Linked DNA regions of Drosophila melanogaster. The main gene of each other region encodes a partner of the protein of the gene in region 2 in a complex. Each region holds a gene or a part of one and is shown on either strand. Other genes may lie near its edges.

Region 1 (5,253 bases), on a different chromosome or scaffold from region 2:
TTTCGAGTATCTTAAAGATACTTTTTTGACCAATCGGAATTCATTGGTTCAGTAAGCATATTCGGCGACTGGGTGTCTGAAATCTGGTTTCGATCATCTTATCTTGATGGTATAACTAGCATTTAGATACCCATTTTTCTTCATAATTCTTAATTTTATTTGTTGCATAATTTATGAAAATAGTACGAAAAAGTACAATTTTTTATACAGGTTCTGTATAAGTTACAAGGTACCCATTAGTCGAAACCTTATTTATCGAACTTTATAACCTAACCACTTGACTATGATTTATTTACAATTAAGCATCTTTGAGCGCTTCAATTACTTTTTACTTCCAATTAATGCAAAGTATACTGCCTAAGGTTTAACTTTGACTCCGGGTTTCCTGTAGATCGGCGGAAGTTTTTTTGTTTAGACATGCGCCAAGCACTTGAAGTCCGCAATTGACTGCTGCATAATTAGATGCGATGCGATTGGAATAGAGGATGCGATGGGTAATCACATCAACACTTGGACAGGCGATCAAGTGTCAGTTCAATAAGACCGGCTCAAGTGTAATTAGAGACCACGGATCTTGGGTTTCGGGAAGGGATCTTGGGTTTTCGGATCATCGATCCAACGATCGTGCCGAGCTCTTGAAAGCCGCTTATTAGGCATTTACAAGGGCAACTGCGCAGTTGATCGGTTACAAAATGACTTAACTATTTAAATAATAAACACGCTTCACGTTTCTCAGGCTAAGTTCGTAAGCATCTTCAATTTTCGGATTGCGTCTCAACTGCAACAGTCTATTTTGAAAGTCAAGCGTTTCTAAAAGCGCCACATCATCAGCGGTAATATTATCCATCCCTCATAAATATTCCCATGTTGTTTTGGGATCTTTTGGCTATTTTTAAAGCAGACAAAGGCGAGCCAATAATGTGTGGAAAGAATTTTGGTTGGATTCAAATACGAAGCAGCTTTGGTAACAACTAAGGTTCTGGGTTAGTCATGATTCACCAACAGGTTAGACTTAGTTTTGTGGCAAAATTTAACCAATGACGTCCAAGTTCTAACTAAAGTAATATCGTTACTTTGTTATTTTATTTTTGGATATTCTCGAAAGTTTCTGGAATTCTCAAGAAAACTTAAACAATATAGAGTCGCATTATATGGAAAACTCATTGATTCATTCTTATGTTTGTTATTTTGTTATTAAATTCCAATTGATGATGCCAGTGTCTAAATAAAAACGAAGACCTAATTTTCAACCAAAAATCAGGTTTTCTGGGCTTGTCCGTATTAAACATTTTTGATAATTATTTATAATATATTGTTATTTTTTGCTGGCTTCAAAACATCAACAAATTGTGTATGATAAATGACGATGACGTTGTTGTTGATGGCGATCGCGCTGTGGGAATCAGATGAAATGTCAATTAAGTTTGCATTTATATCTTTGATTGAAGCTCTAAGATTTGCTTTGCCATTTTATGCGGAAGTTAAGCTCGGTCAGTTCTTGAAAAAGTTCCCATGGGAGCAAGTTATTTGTTTTTTGACAATAAGAAGCGTTTATTTAAAATGGCTTATTATGGCCTCAATGATTCCTAATAGGCGTAACTTACTGGTTATAAACTTGTTTAATATCGTTTCATTTTAAACCTGGATGACAGAAAATGAATTTCGGTTCAAATACAAATATTACAATAGAAAGTATGATATTTAGCTCCGATAAACATTTAACAATTTTAGTATTTTAATGGTGAAATGGTAAATTCCGCGCATGAAAAGAGATAGAAGAGATGACATATATGGAAACCTTAAAAACGTAACGGTTGCTTGGGTTTTATAACAATCAGTCAGTGACAGGCATTTCCAGAGTTGCCCTGTTCAACAATCGATAGCTGCCTTCGGTCGCTCGTCACTAACTTTCCTTTAGGCAACGGCCACACTGTCTGGCCACCAAAATCCCAAACTTAATTAAAGAATTAAATAATTCGAATAATAATTAAGCCCAGTAACCTACGCAGCTTGAGTGCGTAACCGATATCTAGTATACATTTCGATACATCGAAATCATGGTAGTGTTGGAGACGGAGAAGGTAAGGCGAGAAACGGCGAGCCGCATGGTTTCGATTTCGGCTGAGCCGTGGCAGGAACAACAAAAACAGGGTTGTTGCACAAGAGGGGAGGCGATAGTCGAGCGGAAAAGTGTGCAGTTGGCGTGGCTACATCATCATTGTGTTCACCGATTATTTTTTGCACAATTGCTTAATATTAATTGTACTTGCACGCTATTGTCTACGTCATAGCTATCGCTATCTCTGTCTGTCTCTATCAAGCTATCTCTCTTTCGCGGTCACTCGTTCTCTTTTTCTCTCCTTTCGCATTTGCATACGCATACCACACGTTTTCAGTGTTCTCGCTCTCTCTCTCTTGTCAAGACATCGCGCGCGTGTGTGTGGGTGTGTTCTTCTTTAGCTACATATACATAAATAGGAGAGCGGAGAGACAAATATGGAAAGAATGGAAAAAGAGTGAATTACTGCAATTAACCAGTCGCGAACAGTTAAATCATATTTTTGTCGGCCATTGCAGTAAATAAACCGTTGGCTTTCCCTCTTCACTTTCCACCTCCTTTCTTTGACGTTAATTTTTTTCAGTTAATCGCGCCGCTGCTTTGAACTCGAACACGAATTTTAGCCGCAACATAAAATAAAATCAAGTAACTCTTTTAACTCAAATATAAAACAACAATTCCAATTCTTTCAACAGGCAATCTGTGTTTTTATGTCAGATACGTGCGCGTGTGTGTGTGTGCTGTAATTCCATCGCCCCTTTCGATTCCGAGTTCGTTAGGAACAGCATTAGTTCGCCTATTTTAGTAGTAGCCTAGTCCGATTTTAAGTGAAACAGGATACTCCAACACCATATACTCAATAATTAGTTACAACACCCACTCAACCATACAGCAACAACAAGTTTAACGAGTTTTTTGTATTATCATTACTTAGTTTTTTGGTTAATAATACACAAGTGAAGAGCGAACTGCAGGGGAGCGAGATATCACGAAACAATCCAAAATCCACACACACTCAAACAGAAATCAAAAGCTTCGCTCTCTCGCACACACACGCACCAACCAACTATCAACTATCACAAACACCGCGACAGAGAGAGAGCGGCAAGTGAATCACGGCGAATCGAAACCGATCCGAACCCACTCCGGAGCCGAAAAAGAACTGATCCTACCATCAAACGCATCCAATAAACACGGCCGCCAACATGCAGAGCGACTTTCACAGAATGAAGAACTTTGCCAATCCCAAGTCCATGTTCAAAGTAATACTCTCAGTGCGCCTGTCGCTAAGCCAAGCTAATCTAATCTTCTGATTCCCCTTCCCATCCATTGCCATCTTCTCCCGCAGACCAGCGCCCCCAGCACCGAGCAGGGTCGTCCGGAACCACCAACTTCGGCTGCAGCGCCCGCCGAGGCTAAGGATGTCAAGCCCAAGGAGGACCCACAGGAGACTGGTGAACCAGCAGGCAACACTGCAACCACTACTGCTCCTGCCGGCGACGATGCTGTGCGCACCGAGCATTTATACAAACACCCGCTCATGAATGTCTGGACGCTGTGGTACCTTGAAAACGATCGGTCCAAGTCCTGGGAGGACATGCAAAACGAGATCACCAGCTTCGATACCGTCGAGGACTTCTGGAGCCTATACAACCACATCAAGCCCCCATCAGAGATCAAGCTGGGTAGTGACTACTCGCTATTCAAGAAGAACATTCGGTGGGTTTGCTGTTTATTGCAATTCTGCCAAGATAACCTTTACTAACTGATATCTCATTTGCAGTCCCATGTGGGAGGATGCAGCCAACAAACAGGGCGGTCGTTGGGTCATTACCCTTAACAAAAGCTCCAAGACCGATCTGGATAACCTATGGCTCGATGTGGTAAGTGCACAAAGAAACGAGTGGTGAGCGGATGGTCTATTTATAGTGAATGTACATTCTTGAAATGCAAAAATATAGAAATAGGTGTATGATTTTGCAATATAAATTATAACTTATAGAAAATATCAGCTAAAAATACGCTAGTGCTAGCTTTTGTCTTAGGAACATTCAATAGTGAGCTTATATCATAAATATTTTTCGCATATGAGTAACTACAACTGTTTTGCCTTCCAGCTGCTCTGCCTGATTGGTGAGGCCTTCGATCACTCTGATCAGATCTGCGGCGCTGTTATAAACATTCGCGGCAAGAGCAACAAGATATGTAAGTTTTCACGCACACCCAACTTCAGCGGAATTCCTTTGTTTAACGATTAATGCTTTCCAGCCATCTGGACTGCCGACGGAAACAACGAGGAAGCTGCCCTTGAGATTGGTCACAAGCTGCGCGATGCCCTGCGTCTGGGACGCAACAACTCGCTGCAGTATCAGTTGCACAAGGACACGATGGTCAAGCAGGGCTCCAACGTGAAATCGATCTACACTTTGTAGGCGGCTAATAACTGGCCGCTCCTTATTCGGTCCGATCCCACACTGATTATTTTGTCTTTCATTTATTTATCGTTATAAGCAACAGTAGCGATTAATCGTGACTATTGTCTAAGACCCGCGTAACGAAACCGAAACGGAACCCCCTTTGTTATCAAAAATCGGCATAATATAAAATCTATCCGCTTTTTGTAGTCACTGTCAATAATGGATTAGACGGAAAAGTATATTAATAAAAACCTACATTAAAACCGGATACTTTTGATCTTTGATTTTGGAGATATTTTAAAATAGAAAAAAGTTAACCTATATTGTTTTTGGGATAATTACTTGTTGTATTACTAAAACGAGCTTGTATCCTAATATGGGCACCTAAAGCAAAACTTCCAAATTTGGAATTCAATTTGTTGCTAAAAATACGTTAGCAATTTCTAGGGTGGCCAAAAAAAAATGTGTATCGATATATCGATAGGTTTCCTAAATAGACATTAAAATAATTTTAGCTTTTTACTTATATTGTTAGAGTAAATACGTTTGTATTTAAAAAATAAGTCAGTATTTTTTTTTTATTAACCTATTATTGAATTTTATATGAGTGAGAGCTTTTCCATTCAGCCAAGAACGGTCACACTGCATGTGACATGTTTCAATTGTGTAGGCGCAGTCACACTGGTCGCGTCGCTCGTAGATATCGTGTAAGGATATGTCTCCGTGTTTAGCTAAATAAAATACATAAAATATATGTGCAATTCTAACAAGCATAGC
Region 2 (7,686 bases):
CACATTTCTTCGTACTGTGCCATACCATCCCTATTTTGCCATCCTTACGATACCGCCGTCATTATCTTCATTAATGGGTGGGTAGAGACCGTTAGGTCAATGCAGGACGGCATATAGAAATTGGGTGACGCACTCTTAGACCATAACCAAAACTATCGTATATTCTCAAAAAAAGGGGACTATGACTATAAAAATAGCTATGTATTTAACTCTAAACCTCTATAGATTTTGATAGACCATGACATTGTGTGGAACATGATGTCATTTTCTAGACATTGTGCACGAAGATCATTCCCGAAGTCGACCGAACACTTATTCCGTGCATGTTTCATCAGACCGCCGGCAGCATATTTTAGCGTTAGGCGTGCACTTCCTTGTATAACTGTGTACACCTACAAAAAATTTCAAAATCAATCTATCGGGCACGCTCCGTTAATCGAAGTACTTTACGATTTCGATTTTAAAGATTGGTGCTCCGGTTTTCAAATTCGTAAGGATTTTCGATGTGTATAACGGGCACTTTTGTCTGGCCGAAATGAAAAGTATATGCCCATTTTTATATCACGTTAGATCTTAACCAAGGGAAAAAATAGTTCAGTAGTCTATTGATTTATATTCATTAGTTATTTTATATACAATTTATTTCTGACCCCATCAAAAATTTGATATACAAAATTTTGCTGTCGGCAACAAAAATTTTCGATTTGGCATTTTAAAACGCAAGATCGGTGCTCCGGTTTTCAAATTCGTAAGGATTTTTCGATTTGTAAAACGGACACTTTTGTCTGGCCGAAATGAAAAGTATATGCCCATTTTTATATCACGTAAGATATTATTTACCAAGGGAAAAAATAGTTTACTCAGTGGTCTATTGATTTATATTAATTATTTATATTCATTATTTATTTTATATACAATTTATTTCTGACCCCATTAAAAATTTGACATACAAAATTTTGCCGTCGGCAAAAAAAATTTTCGATTTGGCATGGGGTCATGCGTGCGTCGACTAAACTTACTTATAAAATATAAAAGAATTAATTATCTTAATTTAAAAGATGGCCTATAGTGTTCGTAAGTAATGCTATTTAATTTAATTAATTAAACGGTCAAAATGCAGTAAAAAATTAAATGCGAACATCGGAATTAAAATTGTGAAAAAGGTGTCCGCTGGAAAACAGCTTAAACAGCTGTTTACTGTACAGAAAACACTCCGACAGCAAAAAATTTTACGAAATCAAATCGAATTCGGAAACAAATTACGATTATTCGGTAATGCATGCCTGATTATAATTTCTTGATTTGTTTTATATTAAATTTAAAATTTAATAGTTTAATAATATAAAAATATTCTTATTTATATTATATATTATGAGTATTTCAAATGTAAATAATCATATAAACTATTTTATAAAACATCGACGTTACATAAATAAAATTTATTTTTTGTTTTTCAAGTGTAAATAATAATATTAATCATTTTAGAAAACATTCGGCACCTTTACTCGACGCTCATACGAACGGACAGATATGCTTAGTCTGGTATCGCTTTAGCACCAGTAGGAAAAACCTAGAATTTCTTTTCCCACAAATGTCACAACTTCAAAATTCCATTGTTTCACGGTGTTTCTCTTTTAATGTTTCAATATTAATATATATAATGCCTTAAGGTTCAATAAGAACAAAATATTTTCAATGTCTATATCCCACTCCAATTTAGCGTGATATTCACAAAGCTAATCGCAACATTGTGAGCATTAAAAATTGTTATATATGTATGTAAGCGTCTTGGGATTATATTCTCATGAAACTCAACAGTCATATATATGGCCTTAAAATACGTATATATATATATATATATTAATTTTTCAAAGTGTGTGTTTGCATAAGTGGTGTGTACTATTTGTATATTCATTGTACAATTTCTCCCGTTCATATAGGAGAGTGTTCTGTTTTTAATAATTTTGGATATCTTAACTTTTTCGACTTTCTGTAATAAGTTAGATTACACAGTGAACTATAGTCCTTAGCAATGGATACATCAAAGATTAGTGCCAGGTATGTGGATTAAATATTGGTAAATTTTAGTCAACTTTTTCGATATTATTCTCGCGTACTGTTTTTTTAAACTTGTATATGTACTAACATTGTTTTAACAATCTGTTTCACATTAGGTACTCGAAAGTAGACCTGTTAGCTCTAAGATATGAAGGTAAAAGTCGACAGCGCCCGCAATGTTCAACACGACTTGAATTGCAGACGCTAGGTTTTTGGAAAATTAATCTGAACACAGCTGCGTTAACCGTGTCCAGCGCCTATTCTAATCAAAACAAGAATCGACTTTCTCCAGAAGCAGATAACTCGAGCTTAATTTGTTCCAATAGTAGCTCAATAAGTTCACGTCGCGCTATGAGAAATCGAGAACGGGCAAACAACTATTACCAGCGCTTCGTACCTACCGATTCTCTTCTAATAAGTGGGGAGGATAAAGATAAGGATGCGCTTTCTCATGGACAGCCCTATAAGTTGAATATCATCGATCACCGTAGCATATCATCTTCACATTTAATGCCGGCATTTGCAAAGAGGCGTTTTGTCATATCGAAAGGCAGCAACAGCGAGGAAAGCAACGAGGGGATAAACACTTGTGCAAGCAAGGGCAAGGCAGCCAGTTCGCCTAGCCGTAAGGGTAGCGAGTTGGATACTGCTGAGACATGTTTGAATTTTGTTCAGCCGGATCACGACCAATGCATGTCATCTTCACCTACATTTTCAACATCCCGCCAAGAAAGGCGGATTGGTAGCGGTCGGCTGTTGCCAAGAAGTGATAATTGGGATTACAAAAACGAAAAGACCGTAGAAGCCAGCATTGAGAATGAAAAGGAAACATCTCCAAATGGATCTGGAAGTACAAGCAGTCTTAATCAGCACAATCAAAGCCAACATCGTTCTCGAACATTCAGTGGAAGGTTAGTTGAACGTGTTCCCGAAGTCACAGATCGTCGTTTTCAATATGACTCCAAAAAGTCTTTTGATCGTCAGGGAATTAATAATCGACGCATTTCTGGTAAGGAGCCTTTCAGTACTCAAAGCCGAAGCAAGCGTGGCAATTCCTATCTCATTCACGAAGAACCTGAATGGTTCAGTGCAGGACCTAAATCACAGCTAGAAACTATTGATCTACACGGGTTTGAAGACCTGGAAAAAAACGAAGAGCGATCCGTAACTGAAGATAAAAATAATCAAATTCAACAACTTGATAAAAATTTAGACGCGCAAGCAAGCAAAGATGAAGCTTCGATGAGAAACAGCAATGATAGTTTAAATTTCCGCGAAGTCATTCCAAGTGATGAAAAGAAGCACACTGACGAAAATGTAGTGACTTCTATTCAAAACTCAACAGATCTCGGCCATCCCAATAAAAACAAACCAATTCAGATGCAGCCCAGTCAGAATCCTGAAAGTGAATTTAATTTTGATGCCTTTCTTAATATGCATCCCTTGGATAATTCCGTTTTGGTAAATATATTGCAAAAACTAGATTTTAAGGAATGAGTACCTAATCCATTCAGACATTACATGGACAACTTCCGGGTTACCTTTTATTGACGGATCAATAATAGTATTCAAATAAGCTGTAAATAATGATATTAACTCCCGTTACTCAAGTAAAGGGTAAAGAGTTAAAGGGTATACTAGATTCGTTGAAAAGTATGTAAACTATATATTCTTGATCAGGATCAATAGCCGAGTCGAACTGGCCATGTCCGTCTGTCCGTATGAACGTCGAGATCTCAGGAACTAAAAAAACTAGTATGTTGCAATTTAGCATACAGATTATAGATACGAAGACGCAGCACAAGCAAAGACACTAGAATAACAAGATGCGTAACGGCCATACATTGGTTTTGCACTATGCAGCCAATTTTTTAGTGACGGCCAAAATTGCTCTCTTTCCGCTCGCTCCCGCTGAGAGCATAAGAAATCTAAAAATAGAATTTGCTTGCTTGTGTGAGTAAAAACAAGAGACGAGAACGCATATATGTGTGCGTGTTGTGCTAGAAGACGATTTTCGGACCGAAATCAATTCTGATCAAAGAAACGAATTTACATTGTACATATTAGGGTAGTTTTTGTCAATTTCGTAGCAATATGATAAAATAAAATAATTTTTAACTGACTATTATCATTTTAAAGCTTTTTAAATTTGTTTGTTAAAATCGCCGCTCGAATTAGCTACCGTTTACACATTTATATTTATGTTTAATTCTAATTTGTCTCTCATCTGACAATTTTTTAAAAGCGAAATATTTTTTTTTTTAAACACTTTTAATGTTAATGTTACATCATATTAAGTCAAATGACATAATAAATATAGTAAATAATTAAATATGATAACTGTTTATTGCAAAAGTCATATCAAAGACACTAGAATTATTCTAGTGTCTTTGCTTTGTTCATATCTTGAAGCACGAAGTACGGACACAAGCACTCAACAATCATTGCCTTATTAATTTTTCACACGCCGCAAGATGAATACTCTAATGACAAATATTCTTATATAAAGTCATTTTTGAAATTTATTTTTGTGATAATATGTACATAGATTTGGCTATTTCTAATCTATTTTCATATAATAATAACGTTAAGGCAATGCAAAACAAGAATTTTTCGCATGGTGCCAATTGATCAAAAATAATATAGATTTAAAGTCAAAGAACTTCTAAGGTGAAGGGCATATTTTGTGAAATTTACAATGCATGAGCATGCCTGTGTACACATACAGTTGTCTGCTATCACTTTATGCGTTAAAAACAAACAAACAAACCGCCCAGAACTGCCACGCCAACATTTTTGAAAAATGTTCTGATATTTTTTCATATTTTTATTAGTCTAGTAAATTTCTATGGATTTGCAAAAAAAAAAGTTTGCCCCGGCAACTCTAATACCCTAGAATTTATATTTTAAAGGTAAGCTTATTAATTTTAAGATATATTTATTGTACATTTGCAGAGTAATGATGAAACTGGAAAAAGTGACTCAAAAGGAACATCCCGTTTTAGCCGATGGTTTCGACAAAAAGAAGCTGCAAATAATAATGAGTTTCCAGGGTTTCGGGAATCGCATGCTCAAGAAAAACGTGGTATGTCAAGATTTGTAATAATATATCAAAGGCCTTATAGTTCACTTTGTTCTTAAGGTATTCCAAGTGTTAAGGATCTGGAAGCTCAAATGATAAAAGTGGATATGAGGACTGATTTAATAAATCCAATAGCAGGGTCATTATGTCAGACAGTGCAAATGGAAAAACCTATTGCTAGAGACACTGAGGCATTCAAAAAACTTTTGCAACAGTTGGGTTCTCAAGCCAGGCAGCATCATCCATGCAACGACGATTGTCGTACAATAAACCTCTCAAATATAGCAAATCATGTACACCTTGAGTCAAAATTACATCAAAAAATAAATGATGGTCATTTGCAGCAACCAGAGTTAAGTGTTAACGTGCCAACCATGCCAACTAGTAGTCATGTATTTTTGCAAAAGCGTTTGGAAATCCAACATTTAATTCAAAGTAAGATATGTTTCAAAATTCCATGTCTATAAACTTTTTCTTGAATACTTAAGTCCTTTTTCTTGTCCTTATGGTAAAATAATATAAGGTTTCTGGCTGATAAAACACATGAATGTTACAGTTTACCATATACATGTTTACCATCAGAACGGGAACTTATTTAAAGCGTATCTGGTAAAAACCACGTGTTCTTATTTTAATGCTTTTATACCCTGCGCTGTATTTAAATATTATGAAAAACAAAATGTTTAATAATAAATAGGACTTCATTGTGGAGACGTTTCACATGATTTTTTGGAAAAAGAATTGGATAATCCCAGCACCCCAGCAGCCACAAAGGATGTCATTGCCACAGTGTTGAATGAATATTCTCATTCTAAAAGAAATCCGGTGGTCACAGGCGATCCCAATATTTTTACCCAACAATCGTTTCTTCAGCCTCAATCAGTCCATCAGCACTACTCTCAAGGTAAGTAATTCTTGGTTATATGGTAACTCTTTAAAATTCAATTAATATAATATTTGATTCAGTTAAAGTATCTTATTTATTACTAAAATTATTTGTAAAAATTCCTTAATTTTTTTCTAGAATTGCATTCGCAAAATACTGCTAACCATACGATTAATCAGCTAATTTCCCACGGTAACTCTCCAACTCCGTTGGCATTTACTCCTACTTCAGTTTTAAGAAAAATGACAGCCGATAAGGATACGCAATCACCAAGCACTTATTGTCAGAACCCACAATATCATGTACACCAACAAAATGCCAAGCAAGTCGGTACTCGTGAGAACGTACTTGAGCCACAGCTGACCGCAACAATGGCTGTACAGCCCCGAATGATATTAGGCGGTGGAAACTTTGCCATTGGCCAAAACAATCAACATTTGTCTCCCAACATGTCACAAAGTCGTAATCAACAAGTGTTAAAGTGGACTTCTGGCAATATGCAAATGGTCCACGGAAAAACATTTGGTAAGTTACACAAAAAAGTGTTAGCTATTATTAAAGTACATTTATTAGTTAAAGCTTTGTTTTTTTTTTTTTGCTATAAGTTTTTTTTACTCGTTCTCATAAACTTAATGTAAATGTATATGAATTTCAAGAGAAATTATAAAAATCGTTGAGTTACCATAAAAAGCGTGCAAATACGCAAATACAAAATTCAGTTCTTAAAAGAGGATAGTATAGGATAGGAGAAAGTGGATGCTTTTTATACCCGTTACCCGTAGCGTAAAAGCAAAGACATTAGAATAACAAGATACGTAACGGCCATATATTGGTTTTGCCAAAGACATTAGAATGACGAGTAACGCCATACGTTTTTTAGGATTTTTGTTGACTTTTTCATCAATTTATTAGTCTCTTAATCAAGTAAATTTTCAAAAGTTTTGGTGGCTTTGTGGGCGTGGCAGTTTTGGCCTGTTTGTGGGCCTTAGAGTGTCCGCAGCATCATGACTCTCTCAAGCTTCTCAACTCTCTAGCTTCTATAGCTCCTGAGATCTCGATGGCCAGATCGACTCGGCTATTGATCCTGATCAAGAATATATATACTTTATATGGTCGGAAACGCTTCTTTCTGCCTGTTACATTCTTTAAAACGAATATAGTATATCTCTACGAGAACCGGGTGTAAATATACAACCTGTAGAATAGCTAAATTGGCTTTTTGAGACACGACGTGCGTGCACGTATATACTTACATAATATAGAGAGTATTTTTTAATAGACCAAAAAATAAATATTCATATACACAGTTTGCTTAATTTATATTCTGTGCAAGAAGTGTACCCTACAATTTTGATTATTCTTGACTTATTGGGGTAATGAAAATTACGATTATTTAGTGGAATTTTTTGAAGTGGACTTTGTTTTAATGTAGTTATCTGTGACCCAAAGCAATATTTTATTCTCTAGGAATAAATATCTTTGTTAAACAACGCGATATAATAAACTTGAGATCTTCGACTTCTGTATTAATGGGTTCAAAGACTTACACATTATTATTTTGACTTACATATTTTAGGCCGACCTATTCTGAAAGGAGGTCTTAATTCAATGCCGCATTCCAATTCTGCACTTCCTTTTACTGCCCATAAAATTGAAATGC

What was found.
Region 1: the proteins of 4E-T (region 2) and eIF4E1 are in contact, whole or in part, in a crystal structure (PDB 4UE9), measured with the Drosophila melanogaster proteins. Residues at the interface, in NP_726618.3 of Drosophila melanogaster: Arg9, Tyr10, Lys12, Leu15, Leu16, Leu18, Arg19, Glu21, Lys23, Ser24, Arg25, Gln29, Cys30, Ser31, Arg33, Gln37, Leu39, Gly40, Phe41, Trp42, Lys43; in NP_001261626.1 of Drosophila melanogaster: Lys80, His81, Pro82, Leu83, Met84, Tyr91, Glu93, Asn105, Ile107, Thr108, Val113, Glu114, Trp117, Ser118, Leu119, Tyr120, Asn121, His122, Ile123, Lys124, Tyr135, Leu174, Asp175, Leu178, Ile181, Gly182, Glu183, Ala184, Phe185, Asp186.

The regions. Positions count from the first base shown.
Region 1 is NT_037436.4:9,399,108-9,404,360, reverse strand, and holds eIF4E1 (eukaryotic translation initiation factor 4E1), read left to right. Parts: upstream 1-1,900; 5' UTR 1,901-2,057; coding exon of another isoform or gene 2,058-2,081; exon of another isoform or gene 2,082-2,444; intron 2,445-2,555; exon of another isoform or gene 2,556-2,704; intron 2,705-2,754; 5' UTR 2,755-3,264; coding exon 3,265-3,321; intron 3,322-3,407; coding exon 3,408-3,778; intron 3,779-3,842; coding exon 3,843-3,942; intron 3,943-4,176; coding exon 4,177-4,264; intron 4,265-4,327; coding exon 4,328-4,491; 3' UTR 4,492-4,743; downstream 4,744-5,253. UniProt on the Drosophila melanogaster protein: Recognizes and binds the 7-methylguanosine (m7G)-containing mRNA cap during an early step in the initiation of protein synthesis and facilitates ribosome binding by inducing the unwinding of the mRNAs secondary structures.
Region 2 is NC_004353.4:952,378-960,063, reverse strand, and holds the start of 4E-T (eIF4E-Transporter), read left to right. Parts: upstream 1-1,671; 5' UTR 1,672-2,032; coding exon 2,033-2,058; intron 2,059-2,174; coding exon 2,175-3,519; intron 3,520-5,013; coding exon 5,014-5,143; intron 5,144-5,200; coding exon 5,201-5,575; intron 5,576-5,837; coding exon 5,838-6,044; intron 6,045-6,164; coding exon 6,165-6,551; intron 6,552-7,602; coding exon 7,603-7,686. UniProt on the Drosophila melanogaster protein: eIF4E1-binding protein that regulates translation and stability of mRNAs in processing bodies (P-bodies). Probably plays a role in P-bodies to coordinate the storage of translationally inactive mRNAs in the cytoplasm and prevent their degradation.